Arabidopsis thaliana: one gene and its partners. The protein of the gene in region 4 interacts with the protein of the main gene of each other region in a pairwise test. Each region holds a gene or a part of one and is shown on either strand. Other genes may lie near its edges.

The links.
Region 1: the proteins of ATAF2 (region 4) and AT2G34140 interact in a two-hybrid assay, tested with the Arabidopsis thaliana proteins (one large-scale study listed by BioGRID).
Region 2: the proteins of ATAF2 (region 4) and ZFN2 interact in a two-hybrid assay, tested with the Arabidopsis thaliana proteins (one large-scale study listed by BioGRID).
Region 3: the proteins of ATAF2 (region 4) and AT5G01200 interact in a two-hybrid assay, tested with the Arabidopsis thaliana proteins (one large-scale study listed by BioGRID).

What each region holds. Positions count from the first base shown.
Region 1 is NC_003071.7:14,413,065-14,417,085, reverse strand, and holds AT2G34140 (Dof-type zinc finger DNA-binding family protein), read left to right. Parts: upstream 1-2,297; 5' UTR 2,298-2,385; coding exon 2,386-2,898; 3' UTR 2,899-3,392; downstream 3,393-4,021. UniProt on the Arabidopsis thaliana protein: Transcription factor that binds specifically to a 5'-AA[AG]G-3' consensus core sequence. Transcriptional repressor of 'CONSTANS' expression. Regulates a photoperiodic flowering response.
Region 2 is NC_003071.7:13,965,147-13,971,012, forward strand, and holds ZFN2 (zinc finger nuclease 2), read right to left. Parts: upstream 3,812-5,866; 5' UTR 3,274-3,811; coding exon 3,207-3,273; intron 2,880-3,206; exon of another isoform or gene 2,780-2,879; coding exon 2,619-2,779; intron 2,539-2,618; coding exon 2,482-2,538; intron 2,318-2,481; coding exon 2,201-2,317; intron 2,114-2,200; coding exon 1,817-2,113; intron 1,642-1,816; coding exon 1,405-1,641; intron 1,282-1,404; coding exon 844-1,281; 3' UTR 568-843; downstream 1-567. Other genes in the region: PDIL2-3 (PDI-like 2-3), read right to left, coding at 132-260.
Region 3 is NC_003076.8:74,855-79,359, reverse strand, and holds AT5G01200 (Duplicated homeodomain-like superfamily protein), read right to left. Parts: upstream 2,489-4,505; 5' UTR 2,245-2,488; coding exon 1,784-2,244; intron 1,409-1,783; coding exon 1,066-1,408; 3' UTR 817-1,065; downstream 1-816.
Region 4 is NC_003076.8:2,858,241-2,862,685, forward strand, and holds ATAF2 (NAC (No Apical Meristem) domain transcriptional regulator superfamily protein), read right to left. Parts: upstream 2,319-4,445; 5' UTR 1,905-2,318; coding exon 1,745-1,904; intron 1,656-1,744; coding exon 1,375-1,655; intron 1,284-1,374; coding exon 873-1,283; 3' UTR 609-872; downstream 1-608. Other genes in the region: AT5G08780 (winged-helix DNA-binding transcription factor family protein), read left to right, coding at 55-142, 247-570.

The DNA of each region.
Region 1 (4,021 bases), on a different chromosome or scaffold from region 4:
CTATTTCTAAAAAAAGTGTCTACTTCTCAAATTATTTTTGCAAATTACTCTCCAACTTATCTCTTTCAATAATCGTGAAATCTTCATTAAGTGTAAAAGTGATACATGATTAAGCTTAAATACAAGTAAACTAAACCAAAACTACTAACCAAACTTAACCACAACTAAACCAAGTATATACACTCTAATAGAATGTGTACGTTCGTTAAAGAACGGTCATGGCATATTTGTATTGGATGTTACTTAAATTTGGTAAATTTGAAAAGAAAAGCATTATCGGTAAAGCTGAAATCACTAAGATTTTTCTTTTTATTAATTTACAATAGACTATCCTTTTTCCATACCATGTAAAAGTGGTTCCTTTATGACTAGAAAGATACCAATGAAAATTCATACTACAATTTAAAGGGGAGATGAACATGAAATTAAACTCAAAGAAAGAAAAAGAGAGATGAACATCGATCAATGCTCTCTTTTTTACTTTCTTTCCTTTTTGTTAAAAACAATGTTCTCTTTTTTTTCTTTTACTTTTCTTCCTTCTTTTCTCCTTTCATTTCTAACACTTTCCTTAGTTTTACTTTTATATTTTATATACGTCAACCAAATATGGGATTAGGTTAATTGAAAGTGGCATATTTTCAGAAAAGTACTTTGCTTTGCTTTATCTTTCCTCAATGTTCCATTCAAAAGACTCCGTCTTTCAATCGAATATCAACGCATGAGAAAATTATGATCCATTTTGAACTTCACTGACGAGCCGGATCATACTAGGACTGGACTTATGGTCGTTGATACTTGAGTGAGATTATAGCTGAGATGGTCAATCCATCGACACTAGATTGGATCATTAATTGATCAGACTTAGCTCATTCGTCCGACCCACTTTACCATTTATATATAGTTTCAATCTGGCCACTTTGCGACAAGACATGGTGTATAAGATATTAGTAATTAAATTTAAAACAATTCGAATACTTATGAGAAGGCTACCGTGAAGAGGACCCACAAGAAGTCTTTAGAGCTGACAAAAGGAAGAAATATGAAATATGAGTAACGATGTCTCTGTCTCAAAAGCTCATACTCCTTTCTCTTTTCCTCTTTTTAACACTGACTTATTACCAAACATTTCTTTTTTTGACGGCTATGTCTTAAAAGTTAGATCACATCTAAAATATATATATACAGTATATAGTTCATCCATTCTAAATTCTAAAGATAAATATTTCAATCTTGATTTCCAAAAAAAAACGATGAGGTCAATCCTAAAGATCAGTATTAATTGGGGGTTTAAACACATACACACGCACAAATCCATCCAAATGTTCTTTGAAAAGAAAATATGTATGGGCCGGGGCAAGACTCCTAGGTATCTAGAGAGTTGCATTTCAAACCTAATGATAATAGATTATTTAAAGTTTTAGAAAAATGGAACTCGTGACTCGTGCACTGAGAAATCATTATCAAATTCGTAAAATATTAGAGAGCAAAAAGTCTGAACAAGACATTTTCCTTTTCATGAGTTACTGCCTTGTTCGTTTTGGATATTTCCTCCGTTTTATAATATAAGTTGTTATAGACCAAATTTTTTGTTTCACACTATAAATTGTTTTCAAGTTTTTATGCAAGTTATATATTACTTTAATACTTTATGATTATTTATATTTTACAGTCTCTTTTATGATTGGCTGAACTTTTTAAAAGTTAATATGCTTAATATGTGTGTTTTTAGCTAAAACAACTTATATTGTGAAACGGAGAGAATATTATTTTTTAGTATCTGTTTCATATTTTTATATCTAGATACTAGTTAATCAAAAAAAAGATCTATAATTTCGACAACCCTGAAATTCTAATTCGTTAATAATCCATGAACATAGACTCAAATTCGGATGTGAATAGATGGATCATGTTTATAGAATCTCTTTCAAGTAAATTTAATCTTATTTTAGTTGGATCACGTTCAAGCATCCACTAGCTTGTCTAAAATTGTTACGAAATAATTAATGTGTATTCATTTATTCTATAGAGTAAGTGGACGAAAAAAAGGGAAAACGTGTATGGTTTTACAGTAACTACTTACGAATTGCACTTTTCAAATAATTAGCTTTTTAAAGAAAGCTTTGTAGCTTGATCCGCATTGGCATTCGTGTTTTACGTGTAGATGTGAATTCAAGACCCAAAAGTAAAGCGATGAATGCGCCTATTACTACATGCTTTAAAAAGTTTTTAACAAATAAATATTTTAATCTCCACTAATTCAGTCACTTTTCTTCTCCAATTCCTGCTAAAAAGTTATACTATCATCTTTCTATAAAAAGACGTCTTCTCTATTTCTTACCCCCAACAAACTTTGGATAAGCTATTTTCCATTCTCTGCACGTTTTCATGGCGACTCAAGATTCTCAAGGGATTAAACTCTTTGGCAAAACTATTGCATTTAACACTCGAACAATAAAAAATGAAGAAGAGACACACCCGCCGGAGCAAGAAGCCACAATAGCCGTTAGATCATCATCATCATCGGATCTGACGGCCGAGAAGCGTCCGGATAAGATCATAGCATGTCCAAGATGCAAGAGCATGGAGACAAAGTTCTGTTACTTCAACAACTACAACGTTAATCAGCCTCGACACTTTTGTAAAGGCTGCCACCGTTACTGGACCGCCGGTGGTGCACTCCGGAACGTTCCCGTCGGCGCCGGTCGTCGGAAGTCCAAACCACCTGGTCGTGTCGTGGTTGGTATGCTTGGAGATGGAAATGGTGTTCGCCAAGTCGAGCTTATAAATGGCTTGCTCGTTGAGGAGTGGCAGCATGCCGCAGCCGCAGCTCACGGTAGTTTCCGGCATGATTTTCCCATGAAGCGGCTCCGGTGTTACTCCGACGGTCAATCGTGCTGATTATAATTATTTACTCTCTTTTTTAAAAAATAATTTGTTTTGGTTTTGGGGTTGAGTGGTTTTCCTCTAAACCCGTTGAAGAACGTGGTGAATTTGGTTGCTATTGGGTACATACAGGCTGGCAAAGTAGTTAATTTGTCATTTGTCAATCAATCGAATCCAATTACTACTTTAATTTACTACTCTCTATACAAGAGGATTCTTTTTAAACAATTTAATTAATATTATCGACCTAGGATTCGTATGCATTAGTATAGTGGCGTGTGTAATAAATTTTGATAGATTTGTCATTTGTGTTTAGAATTCCATATGGTTAACAAGATTTCTCCAATTACTTGTTGGAATACCTTATATAAGTCGGTTGTTGTGTTATTCCATATTTGTAATAGTCTTTTTTTAGATTGTGGATTAATGTTTTGGCATTCATGTGAAAGAGACTTGTTGTTATTTGCCATTTTCATTAATGTTTTAAGCATAAAAATGGTTAATAGATCAAACCTATATATATATATATATAAGATGAAACCTAATTACTTATTTCTTATATTTAAATACACTAAATCAATAGTCACTTTTCAATAACTGCAACTTATTACTTCCTACAAAAAGCCTCCACCTCTCGCTTCCTTTCTTCTCTGATTCAGTTTTCCTGCAACTTTTATGGACTATTTATTTTTTGAAGTTTCTGTATAGATTCACTGACATGGGCCAAAGGCAAAGGTAAATTACTGGTTGCATTTATATATGTTCATTGATTCTAAGTGCCGATGTATCCGGTTAGATTTTGATTATGTTTTGGGTGATTCTGTTTTTTTTTCTCTTAAGTTAATTCTGTTGATTTTATGTTTCCTTTCTTGATAGATCTATTGATGGGAGACTACGATTTCTCTTTTACAGTGCCCTCGGTGTGGTACGTATCATTTCGATAAAATCTTTTTCCTATTATCATTTTTATTTGATCTAAATGGAGTATCAACGAGTATTATTTTGAGATTCTATCAATCATTGTATTTTGTAATATTATTCTTTGTCGTCGTTTGCAATTAGTAGCTAATATTTACCACAAAAAGTTATGCAACAATGCATATGTTTAGGTTATTTCTTTACCTTTTTATTTTTTACA
Region 2 (5,866 bases), on a different chromosome or scaffold from region 4:
TCGGTTTACCCAAACAATCACAACAATCAACAAATTGGAGCAATGAATTAGCAGCTAAACCGGATCTATACAGATAAACCAATAGAGATTCTCAGAAACACCAAAAGATGAAATCGATGCAGAGCCCATACCTTGGACTTAAAGTTAGAAGCAGTGAGCTGAACCACAGGTGACGAAGATCCATAAAGAGCACTGCTGAGATCGAAGAATCCAAAACAAATAGTAAGAAGTGTGAGCAACGTTAATGGTGATTTATACATTTTTCTTCTTCCCCTTTCTCTCTTTCTTTTCACTTTCTTCTGTAAAATTGTATCCTTTTCTCTCTCGCGATCCTGCGAAGCAGCAGATTTAAGAACACAAGCTCCGTGGAATTACGTAGTCTAACCAATAATATCCTGACACATCAGCATAAGATGTCGCTTCGTTTTCTTTTGTAACATTAACTAGGCAAGCCTCTGGCTCAGAAAGAGGGTTACTATTTGTGTTGGGTTCCAAAAACTAGTTAGGTTCAACATTTTCTAGTTGCTGCATCAAGGAAATCGAATATACAGTTTGATAAAGAAATAGAAAAATCATGGAACTTGATATGTTGAGAATCTGAAAATTGTGCTAAAGGATGTCAAGTTTTATTAACCAATTCAAAACACTGTTCTTTTCCTATTTTGTTTCAGCCATTGCTGTCTCCGAAACCAAAGAAGAAGAAAAAAAAAAAAAAAAAAAGATAGAACATTTCCAAGCCCTCTTTCCAAAAAAATTAACAAAAAGGGCAGAGAGATCATTTTGAGACCGTTAGATACCCCTGACAGGGAAAGACTCTGCCAGATTGTGAGATCATGATCGTGATCATGTAGATTTATCAGATGAATCCTGCACTTTTGAGCTGTCCAGTTCTGCAGAATCATCGTCTTGTTTCTCAGTCTCTGCATCAGGTTTATCATTGGGCAGGGAGGTTGAATCAGAGCCGTTTGGTGGCAATGAGTCCTCCACTTCTGATTTTTCTGGTTCTGTTGGACTATCGTCTTGTTTCTCAGTCTCCAAGCTTTGAGCTTCTGCAGCAGCGGGTTTACCATTGGATAGGGTAGTCATATCAGAGGGGCTTGGTGGCGATGAGATCCTCAAATTAGTTGAAACAGGTGGAGCATAAGGATAAGGAGTAGGCAGAGAAGACATGGCCAAGCCCGTATTGTTATAAGGGTTTAGCAGCATTGAGTGATCAAATTTGCAGTTTGCTCCAAACTTGCAAAATCCGTAGGCCTTGAAGTTACCACATGCTGGCTGTCCCTGAACACAGCAAAATGAGAGAAATTAGTGTCACCAAAGCTTGTTGGCTTTAACAGAATAAACAGAACGAGTTGCGGAAATGTCAAGTTGGCAAAAAATAACAAAGAAGGACAAGAGACTTACTGGTCTTGCTGGAAGAACAATAGGGTTCAAGAGAGTTGGTGGTGATTGTAACAATCTTTCTTTCGGATGACTGTATTTGCAATCATCACCATATTTACAAGTTCCAGTGTTCATAAAAAACCTACATTCAGCTCTTTCAGAAAAACTGTGATGATGTGATGTCACGGTCACAGCCACCGATGCGCTAGAACTGGAGTCGAGTTGAGTTTTCATATTGTAAATGGGGTTAGATGCAGTCTGCACCACGGTAAAAAGGAAAAGAGAGAATTTTCAGATTAAGACAATCTATTGCAAAATAGGAATGTTGTAAAAGAAAGTGAAATTTGTTAAAAGCAGAATCTCTGTCTATTTATTGTAACTTCACAGAGAGAAAGCAAGGTCTATGCACTGAGAAACTATATTTAAGACTTACCATGTAAGTGGCCCAGCCTTGAGGAGGTAAAAGGCCTTGGGAGGGTGCAACCATGTAGGGCATATAGGCCTGAGACTGAGGAACTTGAGGACGTGGAATAGCTCCATATGTTGCAGGAGGCAAAGACACCATTGTCATTCCACTGGCATAAGGAAAACCAACAGACGGAAAGCTGGACATTGCATATGCAGAGTGGCCATTAGAAGGCTGAGAATGAGGATGAGGATGATGGAATTTGCAGGCAACTCCGAATCGACACAATCCTGTCTGCATGTAATATGGACATGGCTTCTCACCCTGGAGAGAGAAGAAACATATAAAGTTTTCTATCAAGTATGAAACTGGTGGATGAAAAGCAGGCTATATGCAACGATGTAATCTTACCTGCCGCATAGGCAAACCGAGAACATTGAACAGCACGGGTCCAGCACCATTCCTGTCTTTAGGGTGGTGATATTTACATGTTGGGCCATACTTACAGGCTCCTGTCTTCAGAAAATACTGCAAAGAAAATGCATACAGAAGAGGAAAATGTTCGTTAAACATCTTCAGAGAAAAGTAAAACAATACGGTGCATCAACTATCCAAACTACTGTATTAACACTTTCCAAATAAGGAAAGACTCAAGACAAGGTATGTTTTGCAGCATAATGTAAGCAGTGCACCTCACAGTCAGGCTGTCCAACTCTCTCAGGCAATTGGTCTCTGTAATAAATAATACCCTGCAAAATGTTACAAACTGTAAGCTCGAGTATCAGGAAAGATGAAGAGAAGATTCAGCCATATAAACTAAGTTTCTCACCTGTGGAAGATTAGTAAGAGGATGATTGTATCGACAAGAGTTTCCATAGCCACACTGACCAGTTCTCAGAAAGAACTGGCAATCTCGCTCACCAGGACGATCAGGATATGGACTAGATTGCTCCATATTGTCTTCATTAACTTTCATCCTCCTGAAGGTATCTACAAAATCATAACACCAAGAACATTATATATCTAAATAACAAGAAAAACCAAACTCAAATCATAAGAATCCACATTCCAAAGACAAAAAGACAATGTCAAACTTTAAATCCGACAAAGAGCAATCAGAATCAGAACAATATCACACAATGAAAAAAAACATGATCTTTAACTTCCATAAATGTAGAAGAAGCATTCGGAATCAATGATCCGACAAGACGAATCCAACAAGATAACTCCAAAAAGACAAAACTCTAAATTTTCGAACTTTTAAGACTTGAATGATCAGAACTCTCAGAAAAAATAAACGAAATCACAATAAGACTTGAATGATCAAAAACAACAACAGAAATTATATGATCTTCAAACACATTACGGAAAAAACCCGTTTCGTTGGATCTTCAATGAAAAAAAAGAGAGTAACTACCTTCAATTTTGTCGGGAGATCGAATCGACCCAGTAGAGTTCTGAACCTGCTGCTGAGTTTCCGACATGGCTCGTTATGAAACAAACACAGTCACAGACACAAAATCAAAACTCGTCTCTAATCCTCTGAGAAAAAATCGTTTATGAGTTGTATGTAAGTAGAGACGATGATCACAATGATCAAACAAACGAAAAGGAAACAAACACAAAAGGAAAATAAGATTTTTCCTTTTTTCCGATGAAAGATCAAACGAAGAACAAAATGTGAAAACTTGAAAAGAATAAAAAACGATCTCTTAAATTTAACTTTTTTTTTGTGTCCCAAAGATAGATTTATCGTTTGAACAAATCCAAAAGAAAAGAGAAAAATCTCAGCCCAAATATTCCAATAGGAATGAAATTTTGCCTTATTCTCTGCTTGGCGATTTCCTTTCTTTTTCCCCAGAATCTGAGATTTTCGTGGGAAAATTTTCGGATCTTCCTTTTTGGTTTTTTGCCTCTTTTTTTTTCTCCCAATGTAATGAAGAGTTTCTTCTTCAATGTGAAAACGAGATCAAATAATAATATAATAACAAATATTGCATTTATATAATATAATGAAAATAAAAATAACAGTGCTGAGTAATGAGTCTTTGCCCCCCCCCCCCGTGTACGGATTAATAAATTCTGCCGGTCCATCTGAAATGACTATATTACCCCTATATGTTCCTTTAACTCGTTTGCGCGTGGTTTAATTTTCAATGTGTTGGTTCGATCTGAGCCGTTGGATACAAACCTTGTGGGACCCCCTCTATTCTTCTTCTTTGTTTGGGAACCTTATTTAATAAAAATTAATTTTTTTTCTCTTATTGCATTTTAATTTAAACAAATGAAATTATGCTGCCTAAAAAAGCTATTATATGTTAATTAATCTTAATAGAGTTAATACTGAACTTTTCAATTGTATAATGTAATCTTAATGTAGTATTTATTTTTTCATAATTAATAACTCAACATACTTTTCTAAAATAATTTATTTCTAGCACATAGTTTTAGCACTAAATTCAATAAAAAATAGTGATAAACTTATGATTTAATATGAATGTAAAGTGATTATAATTTCTTAAATGTTATCTCTAGTTATCAACATATTCTGATCTTTTTATAAATAAGTCTATTAGTGTTGTAAATTGTTTATTTTTTTGGCCAAATTAAGGTTTGTTAACATTTAATATGCAATCACACATGACACACCTAATTTGAAAGCAGTTTATTCGCGTATCTAAATGACGGTGCGTGGGTCCTTTTCTTAATTATTATATCTTCTCACTAAAATTCTACAGATTTCCAACTATATTATGCTGAATGAATAAATGTATTTATTGACTCCTGATCTCTATAAACAAATTGATGGTATCATTAAAAGATACTTAATGTTGATCCAAATTGTAACTAATGCTGTAAATTAATTAAGACTTACTGTATAACTTTTTTTATGAAAATAATTATGTCTCATTGACATATAAGCTCAATTTTTTACCAAGATGTTATTATGAGAACAAACAGAATATAATGAAACATGTATTTGATTAGAGATGAAATTATCTAAGACAAGTTTGTAGTCTATTACATCATTATTATATTTTATTCTTCTACAAATGAATCTACTATTTGATAAACGACTCTAATTTTGTTTAGCATTTGAATTATACCCCATTTTACAATTGACTCCACAACAAATAGTTTTATTCACAATACAAAAAACTACGTTGAAACTTGAAAGTAGAAACTAAACTATTTCTTCTATGAGACATTATAAATTCAGAATTTAGGGGAAATATAAATATATTATTATTAAGTTAAAGAGAGAGAAAGAAAAGAAATTGATGGGTGTTTTCGTCATTTAGTGTGGAGTAAAGGATAAAAAGGAAAGCGTGAGCTACACGGTATTTTATTTAATGAGAAAGGTAAAAAATACTGATTTATAAAGATTAAGGGAGCTTTTTTTTTTTTAATAAAATAGAGCCTCATACTAAAATGTTCTTCGTACGCTAATCTGCGGTTTGGACCAGTTTAATTCTGCTGTAGGGCCCACGCTGAATCCTTCCTTAATTTGTAGCTGCTTAATGACCAATACTGTTGTACTCAGTACGATTGATTAAGAATGCACACTAATTGCAAAATTCAGGCCACCAGTTTGTTTTCTTTTACGTGAATTTTAGTTTAGTTTTTATAATACTTTCATATAATAAGTTTATGTTTATATTAGAAAACGTTATGAAATTTAACATGCAAGAAATTAGATTGTAAGTTAAATTATTTTTGTGAAAGGAACTTAACTCAAATAATCATGAACTATAATATTTTGGATTTCTATCCATCAGTTCGAATCTATATCTAAATCATGAGTTCAATAAGTTCGCTTCCAAACTAATACAAATAAATTAGGTTTAAGAGTTAAAATTTTAAAAACAAATCGAATGTGAATGTTGAATCAACTCCACTGTCTAATTACAAACAAAAATACATAAATTTAATGATCATCTAATTAGTTGTTAAATCGGTTTGATAGTACTCTTCAAAACCTGTTTTTAGCTGAATCTCTTAGAATTACGACCAATTTGTTTTGTTGTTTTGGGGTAAATTTCGATTTTAAGGTAACGCACGATATAGCAAGCAATT
Region 3 (4,505 bases), 2.8 Mb from region 4:
AGAATTCTTTTTACGGTTTTCTATCTTCTTCGTGTTGAAAAGACAAAGGAAGTGTACTTTTTTTTTTTGGTTTTAATGTTAAGACAAAGGAAGTGTACTTGCTTTTAATCAACTTTTATCTAGTTTTAGGTACGGCGATGGAAGTCTTACTAGTTATAACTCTCTACGATTGGTTGCAATTTGAAATATGAAAAACATGTGGTGCGACTTCATATTATACTCTTTTGTATCTCTATTTTTAAGAGGTCGTAATCCTAATACTGTAGTTTACAACTTTTTGCAATTTATGAATTTAACATTTTAGTAGACTCCAAATCACCGGTACACTCCAAATCACTACTGGGCTTGAAAATCATGGATTTTTACGGGGTTTAAGGGATCTTATTGGGGCACAGTTTAATGGGCATTAACTATTTCTTCTTCTTTGGGCTTTGTAAGCCGACGTTGTTTTTTTGTTTTCCCTTTTCTTTTCGTTTTTTTTAGTTAAACAAAAAAAAAACAAATTGAAAGCTCGAAGCATTTGGGACGCAACACCCGTCAGGTTCATGATAATAATTGGAGGTAAATGGAACCACGAAAATGGAATATAATTCTTCTGTTATGTTGAACGATCAGCGAAGCCATGGGAAGAATATTAAGTAAAAAAGTAGTATTTAATAGTCAGATCCTTCGTCAGTTTTACTTTTAATTTGAACAAAAAAAAACTGAATTAGATGCTGATTCGAACTAATCCTAAGTTGTCGGGAAGAAAAAGCGACTCACACCAAGCATTGACATTAAAGTCAACGGTATTTACATTATAATTATATGATTATTAAAGAATATAGTATGTAAAGTCACACATATATATATATATATATATATATCATATATATATATCATATATTGGTATTATAAAACTCGGAACACTGAAAATTACAACCAACCAGACCTAATATATGGACAGCAGAATCACACAAACCTTTTCATACAAATATTTACAACAATTCTGCAGTAATATGTACGTAGAAAATGTATGTAACAAATCTATAGGAGACCACAAACTCTAGATAATTTCTAAGTGATTTAACTCCACTGCGGAAACGCATTATAATAGCTAGACGCAGACGCAGACGCGAAACTGTAATGAGGATTTGGCTGAAGGAAAACGTCAAAAGAATTGGCTGGAGTAGGAGAGAGTGCTACGTCAGCGGTCGTGGCGGTTGCGGATGCGTCTGCGTCAGGGATGTTAACAGTGGTGATATCGTGAATACTTGATCGTCTTTTGTCTTTACCATCTGTGAGTTGTCGAAGAAAATATTTCTGAGCGTGTGAAGCGACTTGCGTCGGCGTTCGAGTCGTCACAAAGCTTTTTGCTATGTTTCTCCAATCTCCTTTTCCATATTTCTTCAAACCCATCAGAAATCGTCTGTCAAACAAAGAAAAGTAAATCAATATTATATTTAGTTAACTTCACATAAGATAAATAATTTCAAGAAAGTATTTGAAAATAGATATAAATTGTAAGAAAAGTATAAATCCTAGGCATTTTAATTATCAAAAGAAATATTCTCCTCAGTGAGTTCATATAAAAACAGAGAATTTCAAGTAAATATTAATAAAAGAGATATATTTACCTCAAAATACCACAAAACAAGATTTAGTTCCAAAATTATTTACCAAAATAAACAAATTGTTAGGCTTAGAAACTTAAATTCTATAGTATTATAACATAAAATATCGATTTTTTTAGAACAAATCTTTATAACATTAATTAGAAGTAGTGAAGAAATTTGGTAGTTACAGGTGTTCGTCCTCGGTCCACGGAACTCCTTTCTTCCTCTCCTTTTCCGGCATCGGAGACCTAAAACAATCAGTCATCGCCGGCGAACTCCTCTTTCCTCCAACGACGTAATCATAACCGTAGCTGGAGTTTTCTAGACCAAAGAAATAGTCACTGTTTGCAGCGGAGGAGGCGTCGCCGCCGTATCCCGGAATGGGGATAAGTCCGGCTTCGATGTCGCTGACATCATCCTCTAGCTCCTTGTATCGTTTAATGACGTCAGCTACTGTTTTGCCGGGAATCAAATCTGCGATCTTGGACCAGCTCTCAAGATTGTCTTTGTCGTCCAGATAAGCGAGAGCTTTCTCGAACCGTTTGTTCTCCTCCGCCGTCCACGTGGCTTCTCTGACTTCTTGAAAAATCCAGTTTGTGTTTGCCGGTGAAAACATATTAACTCCTCTGTACATCGTCGACGATGACATAGCTCCTCCTCTGTTTTTGGTGAAAACTTTCGTTTTTTTCTCTAAATTTTAGAAGAGGACAAAAAACAGAGAGTGAAGAAGAGAGTCTTGAGTGACCAAGGCAAAAAAAAAAAGAAACGACTTTATTTTCAGAAATCTCTCGAGAAAAATTATTACATGGAGAAAATGAAGAGAGCATAAAGTGGATCTCTTTGGTCGTAAACGAAAAGGAAAACACAAAAGTGGATTTTGCTTTTTTATTTTATTTTTCTATATTTCACGTGATGATCAATAGGAATAATAATACATTCAACAGGAAAAGGTGTATAAAAAAGTGTTTTTTTAAAAGAAAAAATTGAGGAAAAAGTTACAGAGATATTTGTTTTTGTTTTGCCTATGTCAAATGATTTATAAAAAATATATTTTAGTTGTTGCAATCTAAGTCGGCCAGTAGAAATATGACAACTCAGTAGTGAATGTTTCTTATAAGCTATATTTTAATATTTTTTTTAACCTAAGGTCAGATAAATACTTTTAGTATGGCTTATCTATGTGATAATTAGCATATTTGTTTTCTGCTAATATGATAAATCATATAAAATTGAAATGGGATTAAGACTAACCAAATGCACGTGTCGATACATGAAAGAAAGTATAACATAATTTCTATTTTATGACAAAGAAGGTGTAACCAATAAAATGAAAAAGACCAGAAAACGACTGTTCAATGGTTTGGCCGGTTCTTAATTTGTTGTTTAATCAAGAACATAATAATATTTAACTAAAGAGCTTATTTGTCAACACGAAATAGCCCATTCAATATATAATAACACAACCATAACTCCATAAGCTAAACAAATATACAAAAACAAGTTGGAATATTACACCTTCGAAAATTACGTATTTAATTAATTTTTGGCTGGCAAACAATTTGTTTTTTAACGTATTTGTACTTTTCATTTATTTTGTTGTAAATAAACTTCATTTTGTTAATTAATCTATTTAACTTTAAAAAAAAAGTAGAGATCATACAAATATGCGAATTAAACAATGGGATTCGATGGCAAAAACTGCAGAACCGTTGTACAAGTGGGTTAGGTGGTGATCTTAATTAACCTTTAAATAAATTCAAAAGAAAAACTTTGAACAGAAGCCAGAGCTGGATGTAACCAAAGATATTTTCTTTAGTGTATCACAGTTTCAAATTTAGTATTGGTTATTTTATGTTTATTCATATAAGGCAAGATAATACGAAGAATGTATGTGTCGGGTGCTTTCATATCGTAACAAAAGTTCATATATTAATGTCTCACCACGACACCACCTCATGTGGACGGTACCACAGCTCCACTTCTAGCCAATTGAATAATTTAAATTTGGTAAAAGTATAAAGCATTGCAACCAATTATTATAGCCAACTGTCAAACATTTTCACAAACTCATGTATTTTTGTCTTTCAGAACTATTTTTAAAAAAAACTCGAAAAAATAGTTGACTAAGATTTAACTATTTGCAATACCCGGTTCAGGAAACAAATGATAGACGGTTTAAAATTTCGTATTCAAGATCCCGAAAGCATGTGTGATTAAGAACCAAAAAAAAGTATAAAGTATAATTATAATTAAACACTAGTTAAATCAGCCATGAAGAATGAAATTTGGATATTTCGATACGATGAAATACACAGAAAAATAGTTATCAGGAGTAATTAAATAAGGTAGGGACAACAAAGGAAGCCAATACCGAATTCTCCCTATAGTGTCGCTCACATGCATGATGAAACGTAAACTGTAAGTGTCATCTGCTGATTTGTAGCAGACACAAGGTTTCTGTTCCACAGAGAGTGACTTCTTCTTGGATTCTATATTTAGCAAGATTCTCTTACTATAATTAGTAAATTACTCCTTTTTCTGTCGAATTTATTACTCTTGCTTCGTTTTATTTCATTTCTATCGTTTTATGAGGAGTATTTTGTTTTTTTCTTTCTCGTTTTCTTTTAATATTGGAAATGTGACATTGCACCTACTCATTCAAAATTCGACGACAGATGAATTCTGCTTTGATAACGACTTTTTGGAAGAAAAAAAAGACTGTTTTTTTTAGTTTATCGAGTCATTAGTAGACACGTTTAAACTTTAGGTGAAAATTAAGTTCGAAATACTATTTTGTTTTACCAACTAACCGATCACTTAATTAGTTCAGTCTTGTCTTATAACTAGGTCTAACATTTTTTTTTTTCAAGTATGGTATTGCGTTTTGAACATTTTTTATTATCTACCACA
Region 4 (4,445 bases):
ATCTTTGAATTAGCTTAATGATTTTCATGTTTCTCTTTGGGGTTGGAAAAATAGGAAAATGCTAAAACAGTGCAAAGAGAAAGACCAGCAGAACAAAGCTGTTTCAGAAATTGATGATGTTTCTCGTTTGCCTTTATCAATGGTGAGGACAAAAATCCCTGTTACGTCATGTCACTGATATGTTTTTGAGCTGATGAAAAACAGGTTCTGAATGTTTTTTTGTTGTCTCCTTTTCTTTATCCACAGGAAAGCTGCAGAGAACTGTGGAAGGCTGCCCAAAAGTTACAAAGCCAGCTCTCTGAGATCATCGATTCATGTGATGAAACCGTGGTTCCATATTCTGTATCTCCAGGATGTGAACTCGAAGGTATAAGCAAAGGATTATGCAAAGAGGATCCCAAAATGAAGACTCCTCGTGGGAATAATGGATCTGAAAAACCCTCCACACAGCTTGAACAGAAGGAAAGAGAGAAGTCTTCCAAAAAGAAACCTCAGGTCAAGAAAACGAGAATCAAAAGTCTCAGAGACATAGGAATAACAGCTGTGAGGAAATCGCCTCGATTCAGCTGATGATACTCATCAAAAAATGCTTCCGGAGAGCATGATATCTCATAAAGGTTAGGTTGTTATTTAATATCAGTATCTACATAAGTGCAACATCTTGAAGAATTTGAATATAAATTTTTAGTTTTCATATAAACTTCTCATGAAAGAACAAGAATGTGCCTGCTAATGAGACATTGATGCTAAAAGCTATTAACATTCTACAATCTTCTTTTACTACTAAGAGCCAGGGATGAGTTGAGATGAGACTCTTCTCTCTGGCACATCACAGTACTACTAGCAAACACCTTTTTTGGTCTCTTCCGTTTTTACCCCTGTGGAGCAAAACTCCAATTCAAGAATGGTTTCTGCTCAGGCGGATCCTGGAAGGAAGTGAAATAATCAGACTGATACAAGAACTGAGGGACAAAAGCGTCAGGCTGCAACAACTCCATGGAACTACCAAACATTGAAGTATCAAAAGCTTCCAAAGCATCCTCAAGCTCTCCCCATTTAGGCTCGCTCTGAACCTCCAAAACATCCGGTGACACCACGTGACCGTGACCACCTGAGCTGCTGGAATCATCCTCTTGCAATGTCGGGTAAGTCGAGTCTGATGTATCAAAAGGTGATGATGACTGTTCAGCCATTGTCGTGGTCCTCGGCTTCTCATCCGCGGGGAAATACTTCTCCATGGTTCCTTTCTTGTTGTATATTCGACATAAAACCCAATCATCAAGCTGTACAGCAAAACCCACCACAACAAAGTTAATAATCTAAATCATCATTCACGAAAAGATGATACATAAGTTAATAAGAAACAGAACTTACTCGTAGGTTGTTCTTTTTGTTAACAGAAGCTGATCTATCAACATTAGCGAGACGATACTCATGCATTATCCAATTGGTCTTAATCCCTTTTGGAGCTTTCCCTGCGTAGAAGACGAGTGCTTTCTTGATACCCAACGTCTTCGGTTTACCAATCGGTTTATCTGCTCCGGTAGCTTTCCAATAACCGGTTCCTGCTGCCCGGTTAGGACGCGAACCGTTTGGGTATTTCCGATCTCTAGGTGAGAAGAAGTACCACTCTTTCTCTCCGTACAGAGACATCTCTGAAAGAAGAACAAACATCTCAATAAACAACGATTCTCGAAGACACATGATTTCGCGAAAAATAATTAGAAGAAGCCCATAGGTGTACCTGGAAGCTCCCAAGGATTGAACTTGTAGAGATCAATCTCGGCGATAACCGGAGCCGAGATCTGCTCGGAAGCACATTTCCGGCACAAGTAGAATTTCACAAGCTCCTCGTCCGTTGGATGGAATCGGAACCCAGCTGGTAAATTTAGCTCCGACTTCATTCTCTTCTTCTTGTCTGTTGCTCTTGGAAAAATCTCTTCTTCGTTGGTTGAAAATTCAATTTCAGCTGGATCTGGATTTTTTTTGGGTTTTCTTCGTCTGCTCAAGATTGTAATCGAGGATATGTGAGTGAGGCGACGAAGGTTTTATAAGGACGAAAATCGCCGAAATGTTTTAATTAATTTAAATTGAAAAAACACAAAAAACAGAAAAGAGATGACACGAGGGGATTTTCAAGCACGTGCGGCAAAACAGACCGTTTTCTTTTCTACGCTGACCGCAGCCAGCTGGATATATACGTGGCGTAATATTATTGGATAGTCGACTTAGATGTTGTCATTGCTTGCGTCACTTAAACCTTTTGTGAATTGTTGACCGACTTTAGACCATCTCCATTGGGAAAGAGAGTGTAGAAAGTTTCTTACTTGAGAAACTTTGAGATACTTTACAACCCATCATGACAATTCTCATCTTACTATTGGTTCAATTTTTTAACAAAAATACTTTTTTAATTAAATAATTAAATTATAATATAATATTAATATTTTTTTTGTTTGAGAAATTTTGTGGATTTCTCGTAGATGGAAATGCCTTTATATGTCAAACCGTAATCTCCTGCTTCTCAGTGTAGCTTATCGCTTTTGTTCCTTTACTTACCACTAAGATTTACCACTAAGATTTAAAAAGAAAAATCTCAGCAGCCACTACTTTTTTATGATATTGAAATTGACACATTATTGTAACCTTGCTGAAGATAAGTCAGCATTTCTTGGGGCGGAAGTTGTAGTTTTGACTGGTGATTGGACAGTTTGATGAAACTACGGTGAGCATCTCCGCAGCTGATTAATTTCCTTCTTCAGGCGAAGCTTTGCGTCATGATGGATGACGTCATTTAAAGTTGCAATCGCCAATCATAGTCACTAATTATAAATACTCTCGACTAATAATACTACATTCACATAAATAAAAACATTGGAGTTCGCAAAGAAAGCGTTTGCGCTTTAGTTTGAGTTTCCCCGTTACATAAAAATATGTGTTAAGGACAACTATTTAACCACTAGCTTAATCCTTAATTAAGTACCCATTGAGCCGCTTTCATTACAGACTTAATTTATAATTCATAAGTTTGATTCACTAGCAAATAATGCCCATGAATCCTCTTCTATTTTAAAATCTTTAAATGTAAAGTTGAGGTAGGTGTGTATGCAAGCATGACGTGGGCTTGTTCCCCGTTTTATGATCATCATCACTTACGTTTTCTATCATATTATAAACTAATTATGATCGATTCAACGTAATGTTTTATAAGATCATGGTCTTTTCCTTTTACTATTAAAAGTCCCTTAGTAGCCAAATTAATTATAATACGAAATATTTGTGGTCAAACATGACTTTTTGTTGTTGTCAATAAGGATTCTTTATCGATATAAGAATGCAAGTTATATAAGTCGTATCATTTCATACACATCTTTTAGGCTTTTAGCTAAATAATTTTCGTGCACTGACGACTTCATTTTTTTCTGTCGTTTTAGATGATAACAGTCAAGTCTAGAATAAAAGATATGACCACTAATATTAAACCAAAAAAAGAAAACAAGAAAATATATAAAAGACATCGTAACGCATGATTTGTTCCTATTATAAAATTCAGATCAATTGGATCTGGACTTGATCTGAATTTTTATGATAAAGAGAGAAATCGACTTTATAGTTTTTTTGCAGTTGTTTGTTAATTTAGTCGCGGTGTGAATTGAAATAGGAAGCTTCGTGGAGCTTGATGTTATAGCTGCCGAACTTGACCCAAATTATGCAAATATAATGTTTTGGTGATGGATTATTACCTTTATGTTTTGTCGTTTCTAGAAATTTACATTGGAATATACTTGAGAATTTGGATAAGGAGGAGACAACTTGGGACCTCATTGTCGGAACTTAGAACCTATCGTTAACAACAATTAGTATCACATATACTACATACTATTCTCTATTCATATGACTACTTGTCTTATTCTTATGTGCGTGCGTATGACAAAAGTCTTACTATATAACATTCGTTTGAAACCGTGCATATATTGTAGTTAATTCTAGCATTTTAATTGGAATGTTTGAGTAGTGAATTATAAGTTTATGATAGATTTCTCCAACCTTCCGAGTTTCTAAATCGAATTTACTCAAAGCTCATACCTCTTATAATCGTGTGTAATAAACAACTTGCAAAGTTTCTTCAAAAACCAAACTACTTGCTAATTGCAAAAAAAAAAAATCAAATAAATACATCCATTTGTCACACCATTTTGTCCCTCTCTCTCAATCAATTCGTCACCGCAACTTAAAAACATCGGCCCAATTTGTCTTTCTCGACACAACAACTTAGGAAATAATGGGTCACGTTTGGGCCTTAATTTTGGGTCACTTACGGAAAACGGTTTCGGTTAGCTGGAGATCAACATCCAATCCGAATTCATTGTTAAATAACTTTTATCCTTACGGAAAACGGATCGGTTAGCTGGAGATCAACATCCTCCTAGAGACTGAATGATCTG